Linked DNA regions of Coturnix japonica. The protein of the gene in region 1 purifies or fractionates together with the protein of each later gene. This does not show direct contact. Links are inferred from orthologs where the notes say so. Each region holds a gene or a part of one and is shown in the gene's direction. Other genes may lie near its edges.

Region 1 (3,815 bases):
CCTCGCGGTTTTTTCCCTTTACTAACTCTGACTGCGTCTCTCTATCTTCTCCCTCTGCACCCCCCGCTCACCCCAGACCTCGCAGTGTTCAAGGAGCGGCTGAGAGTGTTAACAGTGGGAGGTACGCACCGCGGCAGCCCCAACCCTCTGCAGCTCAGGACTCTCTATAGGTTATTCTGGGCCCTTTGGCTATAGGCGAGCGGGGCGCGCGGTCGGCGATGCTTCACCCCGAGCTGGAGCGTTCCCTGTAGCAGCACCGGGTGCCCTCTGATTTGCACACACCTTTTGCTCCATGGCCTTTCGTTGTGACCTGGTTGTCTCGTGCTCGATGTTAATTGCTGCTTGGTTGATGCTCTCAAACCTCCTCCGTGCTCATTTTGGGTTTTGTGCTGCTTTTATCCCCCTCCCCTCCCCTCTCCTCCCTTCCCCACCTGCGGCCGTTCCCCCCCGGCTCCATCCCTTCCTTCTCTCTCTGCTTCCGCTCTTCCCCCCCACCGCAACCCTGCAGGATTTTATGGGCTGGACGAGTCCGACCTGGACAAGGTTTTCCATCTGCCCACAACCACCTTCATCGGAGGAAATGAGTCGGCTCTTCCGCTCCGGGAGATCATCCGCCGCCTGGAGGTGAGGGCTGTGTGTGTGCAGGAGCAGCTCCTGCAGCACAAGGGCTGTTTGAGCAGCGCTGTGGCTTTGCTGCAGGTCCTTGTTTCCTTCCTGCCTCACTCCCTATTCCTGGCTGACCTCAGCAGGGTGATCAGTGTCTGAGATCAGCAGTGGGGTCCTCCTTCCCTGCCTTAACATGGGGTCTGCTCCTGGGAGGTGCAGCTCTGCTCGCCCTGCTGGGTGCTGAATGAGGGGACCAGAGGATGCCCTGGCATCACACAGAGCTTGGAGGGGTCTGGGGGTGTTTGCGGCTCCCAGCGGTGCCTGATGGTCTGTGCCGTGCTCTGTGCAGATGGCGTATTGTCAGCACATCGGCGTGGAGTTCATGTTCATCAACGACCTGGAGCAGTGTCAGTGGATCCGGCAGAAGTTTGAGACACCAGGGGTTATGAAGTTTACCAATGAGGAAAAAAGGACGCTGCTGGCGCGCCTGGTTCGCTCCACCAGGTACGTGATGAGCAGCGTGGCCGTGGCCCCCATTTAACCCCATTTATTTTGTGCTGGATGGCTGCCCCTGCTGGACGGTCACCACCCACATCACCTCTCCTTGGCGTCATCCACGCGGTTACGACACAGGGCTCACTCATGTGCTGCCATAGCGCTGGCACTGAGCCTGCAAAGATGATGCTGGAGAAAACAGCTAAAAATAAGGCACTGTTCAACAGCAGCACAGCAAGGAGTCAGTGTGCACATGGGGTGGGGAGCTGGGCAGACAGAGGGGCAGTGGGGTGAGCAGGGGATGTGCCCCCTGTGAGCTCCCATCTCTGCTCCCCCTTCCAGGTTTGAGGAGTTCCTCCATAGGAAATGGTCTTCGGAGAAGCGTTTCGGTCTGGAGGGCTGTGAAGTGCTGATCCCAGCCCTAAAGACCATCATTGATAAGTCGAGTGAGAAGGGAGTGGATTATGTGATCATGGGGATGCCCCACAGGTATGTGTTGGGACCCCATCCCCTCCATAGCTCTGGGCTGTAGGGCTGCCCCCTGTCTCTGTGCTGGGGGAGGCACTGGGCTGTGCTGCCTGCTGCTCACTGCCAGCACTGCTTTCACAGAGGGCGCCTGAATGTCCTCGCCAACGTGATCAGGAAGGAGCTGGAGCAGATCTTCTGCCAGTTCGACTCCAAGCTGGAGGCTGCTGACGAGGTGAGCCCTCCTCCATCCCTCAGCAACCCGCAGGCCGTGCTGCTGTGAGCTGCATCTCAGCACTGCCTGCAGCGCTGCACTGCAGTGCCGTGACCCCCCTCCCTCCCCCAGGGCTCCGGTGACGTCAAATACCACCTGGGGATGTACCACCGGCGGATCAACCGCGTCACCGACAGGAACATCACCCTGTCCCTGGTGGCCAACCCGTCCCACCTGGAGGCGGCCGACCCGGTGGTGCAAGGCAAGACCAAAGCAGAGCAGTTCTACTGCGGGGACACGGAGGGGAAGAAGGTGAGCAGTGACGTCGAGGGGCTGCCACACAAACTGCCGTCACCACGGCTGCTCCCGCGTCTCCCCCTGGTCTCTGCTGGTAGCTCCTGCCATTGCTTGACCCTGAGCAGGGCTCCCATCCCCAGCATCAGGGCTGACGCAGCTCCACGCTGCAGGGTCTCACTGTGTATGGGTGGGAGTGCTGGGGGCACCGGGATGGCTGCACCCACGTGCTGGGGGGGTTGTGCCCAATGTCACAGCCTCATTCATCGCCTGTGGCACTTCAGAAGTGGAAGGGTGGGATCAAAAGTGCTTCCCTTCCTCCCACACCGCGAGGGCTGGCAATAAGTAGAGCAGCTCTGTCCTCGCCTGGCAGGCGTCCTCAGGCAGCCCCCAACTAAAGCAGTGGAGCAGCTGATGGTACAACGAGCTCTGCCACAACGCGCTCCTTCTTTTGGGGTGAAAACATGCAGGAAAGGTGCACTGATCCCAACCCAGTCCCTGGAGCTTTGGAGCAGACGGGTGTTGGGGTGGGACAATGACCCCGAGCATCCCACAGGGATCACAGCAGCTGCCACTCAAGCGCTGTGGGAAATCATTGCACTCTCCCATGGGGCTGAGATGCGGCTGCAGCACCACTGAGTGATGTCCTTGGCCCCACAGGTGATGTCCATCCTCCTGCACGGAGATGCAGCGTTTGCAGGGCAGGGAATTGTGTACGAGACGTTCCACCTGAGCGACCTGCCCTCCTACACCACTCACGGCACAGTGCACGTCGTGGTCAACAACCAGGTGAGGGGCTGCCCAAAACCAGGGGGGATGCTGCGGCTCCAGTGCTGGGATGGAGCTGGGGAAGCCCGGCTCTGTGCAGGCCCAAGGCCTGGAAGCCTCCTGCATTCCCCAGGTGCCATGCAAGCTGATGGAGCGTGCCTGGCCCGGCGCCTGGCTTCAGTGCCAGCCGGGATCTGCAGGCAGCAGGTTGTTCCACATCCCGTCCTCCCCTCCAGATCGGTTTCACCACTGACCCACGCATGGCGCGCTCCTCCCCGTACCCCACCGACGTCGCCCGCGTGGTCAACGCTCCCATCTTCCACGTCAACGCGGACGACCCTGAGGCCGTGGTGTATGTGTGCAACGTGGCAGCAGAGTGGAGAAGCACCTTCCATAAGGACGTGGTGGTGGATTTGGTAAGGAGGTGACACCGGGCTTTGCGGCTCCTCCAGCCTTTGGGACACGGTATCAGAGGATGTTTGTGCCAGGTCCTGAGAGTGTGATGACACTGGAGGGAAAGTGCAGCCTCTGTCTGTACACCTGCCCTTGTTGCTGCTCCCTCCTGGACCTTCCATAGCACACAGACCCCGGCTGTGCGAGGCACAAAGGCTGCAGGGCTGCTCTGAGTCTCCCTCCCTCCCTGTAGGTGTGTTACAGGCGCAATGGACACAACGAGATGGACGAGCCGATGTTCACGCAGCCCCTGATGTACAAACAGATCCGGAAGCAGAAGCCGGTGCTGCAGAAATACGCCGAGCTCCTGATTTCACAGGGGGTGGTGAATCAGCCGGAGTACGAGGTACTGACACCAGGGTGCAGCTGGGCAGCGCTATGGGGCGTGGGGTGGGGGCAGAGGAGCTGGAACCCCCCAGTGCCCTCCAGGGCTCCACGACAGAAAGGTTTCAGGGCACAGCATATGGGATGCAGGGCACTGAGCACACAGACCTGCCCTGGCTGCCCCACAGCCTTGTGA
Region 2 (2,482 bases), on another chromosome or scaffold:
AATAAGTGAAGCTCTGACCATCAACATTTATTCCTGGGGAGGGTGAACATCCAAACCCTTGTCCTTTGCCATTTGTGCTCTGAGTGGCTTTCTGAGACTATACCTTTCTTCTAGGCACGGAAGAATGAACTGGCTATTGAAGACATGGATGGTGGCACTTTCACAATCAGCAACGGAGGGGTTTTTGGGTCACTCTTTGGGACACCTATCATCAACCCTCCACAGTCTGCTATCTTAGGCATGCATGCCATCTTTGACAGGCCTGTGGCTGTGGGAGGCAAGGTAGGTGGAGCTGCACAGGAGGTTTCAATAAGTAGAGAGGAGGGCTCTGTGGGATAAGGATCGTGCCTCATATGCTGTTTCTAGGGGACGTGATGTCGCCTTCTGAAAGGCTTGACTATGATTGGAAAACCAAGTCTTCCCCAGATTGAGAGGAGGGTGTCCTGCAGGCAGTAGGGCTGAACACACCAGTACCCGTCTTGTTCTCTCCCTTCAGATCGAGGTCCGGCCCATGATGTACGTGGCACTGACCTACGATCACCGGCTGATCGACGGCAGAGAGGCAGTGACTTTCCTACGCAAGATCAAGGCAGCGGTGGAGGATCCCCGCGTGCTGCTGCTTGACCTGTAGAGCAGCCACACCCTCACACGACCCTCCCAGGGCATAGACGCAGCACCAGCAGGGGCGCAACGCAGGGCATTCAGGAACTGGCTGGGGCCATTCCAGTCTCCTTCCCACCCCTGAGATCAGAGATGTCCCAGAGGGAACTGGGAGGATAGCTCCTACCTCCTTTCCTGTTCTGTTTAATGGATGGTTCAGTCTCTCACTAGGATTGCCACCACTGAACGGCACTGCCTTTCTGGAGCCATCTGTGTGGCATCCTCTCCTTCACGGCACCAAACTCTCACCTCTAGCTTGTCCAATACCACTGGAAAATGCTTGCTGCTGCTGTGCTAGGGTACCCTTCCCTGCCACTCCAAGGTGGGTTCAGCTTTATTTCCTAGCACTGAGGTTCTGGGAGGGGAGGGAGAGGAAAGGCTACTGTTCTGTCCCCGTTTTGCTTGAAAATATATCACTTTCACCTGTCTTGCAAGGGCAGCCTGGGTTCCCTCAGGCCAATTGCAGCAGAGATTTTGATCAGAGCAGAGCTGAGGTAGGTGTTGTGCCCTTGGCAGTGCCCTAATTACACTCCCTCCACAGACCGGAATGCAGTGGTTGCATCTCCCCTGCTTTCTGTCGGAGATCATCTGTCTCTCTCTAGCCTGGCCACTGAGCCACGAATGTTCGTGGCCAGGTGGGCAGAGCCCATGATCTCTGTGGAGGTAGCACTGTTCCTGGGGATGGGAGGCCACCCTTTCACCATGACATGCCCAACACTAGGCTAAGAAACAGCCCCCAGCAGCTGTCCTTGAATCACAGTGTACTGATGGATGGGTCTGCGTGTGAGGGCTTGGCCTGCTACCAGCAGAGAGCTGGGGGGGGTTGGGGGGGCTGGTCTGCAAGTGTAATGTATATGCCAGCCCAAGGCTGCTGGTTTTGGGGGGAGGGGGGCAGTCCTTAATCTGATAGCGCACACATGTACTGGGGAGTGAGGGGGTTGCTAGTGCCTGCAGAGTCTATTACTCTTACCCTCTACACAGAACGTGTAACTAAAATATTTAACACAGCGGATTTTAAATGAAATAAAACTGGTCAACAACTGCAAGGTGGGCTGTGTTTGGGGGGGTGGGTCCTGAGTGAGGCCTTGGGCAGCAGCAGCCTCTGTAGCACAGCATGAGAGTGAGAGAAAGGGGACTGGAGGCGGTGATAGTAAATGGAAGTTTCTCTGTCTCTGAACTCTCCTGTTCTCAAATCCTCTGGCACAGAACTGTCTCTTACTGGAAAATATGAGGTTCTGAGGCTGGAAAGTATCTTTTTTCCAGATTTCTTTGCCTATCAACAGAAAAAAAATCCCAGTCTTTTCTAAGTGGTGTGATGGCCAAGAGCGAGAACTGGGACAAGCTCTCACAGTGTGGTTCTGGAGCCAGGTTGGTTTTTCCCTGATACAACAGGGGTTGTGACAGTGAGAAAAAGGATATTAAGGGCTGCAGAGAGAGAAAGGAGGCAAGAAGTGTAAACCGAAAGCTGTCTCATTAGGGGCACTGAGAGCATTTCTGCAAGGAGCTGTCCCTGTGGGAACATTAAGAAACCAATTCCTGGATTGCAGTAGGGTTTTCCCGTCTCTCACACAAGCTTCAGAGAATGGCTTGTCTTTACCAGCTATGAGTAAAGGCAGCCTCTTCTGAGAGAAAACTATTGCACGCACAGCTGCAGTGCTTCCTGGCAGCTAAGGAGGAATGTGTGGCATTAGCTTTCCTTTGTGTCTGACTGAGATAGAAGGTTAGAAGAGGAGGGAAGGGGGGAAAAACCCAAACCTTATGCACCTTCAGAATACAGCAGGGCCTGTACCTGCGTGCAGGAGGCTGGGAAGCAATGCCTGTA

Evidence for each region.
Region 2: the proteins of OGDH (region 1) and DLST fractionate together in Homo sapiens (co-fractionation; 3 studies listed by BioGRID). This does not show direct contact. The link is inferred for Coturnix japonica from reciprocal best matches to the Homo sapiens genes OGDH and DLST.

Annotation. Positions count from the first base shown.
Region 1 is NC_029537.1:122,967-126,781, reverse strand, and holds part of OGDH (2-oxoglutarate dehydrogenase, mitochondrial), read left to right. Parts: intron 1-76; coding exon 77-121; intron 122-508; coding exon 509-624; intron 625-955; coding exon 956-1,110; intron 1,111-1,443; coding exon 1,444-1,590; intron 1,591-1,710; coding exon 1,711-1,801; intron 1,802-1,912; coding exon 1,913-2,092; intron 2,093-2,734; coding exon 2,735-2,863; intron 2,864-3,078; coding exon 3,079-3,258; intron 3,259-3,488; coding exon 3,489-3,641; intron 3,642-3,815. UniProt on the Homo sapiens protein: 2-oxoglutarate dehydrogenase (E1o) component of the 2-oxoglutarate dehydrogenase complex (OGDHC). Participates in the first step, rate limiting for the overall conversion of 2-oxoglutarate to succinyl-CoA and CO(2) catalyzed by the whole OGDHC.
Region 2 is NC_029520.1:34,565,064-34,567,545, forward strand, and holds the end of DLST (dihydrolipoyllysine-residue succinyltransferase component of 2-oxoglutarate dehydrogenase complex, mitochondrial), read left to right. Parts: intron 1-114; coding exon 115-282; intron 283-496; coding exon 497-631; 3' UTR 632-1,706; downstream 1,707-2,482. UniProt on the Homo sapiens protein: Dihydrolipoamide succinyltransferase (E2) component of the 2-oxoglutarate dehydrogenase complex. The 2-oxoglutarate dehydrogenase complex catalyzes the overall conversion of 2-oxoglutarate to succinyl-CoA and CO(2).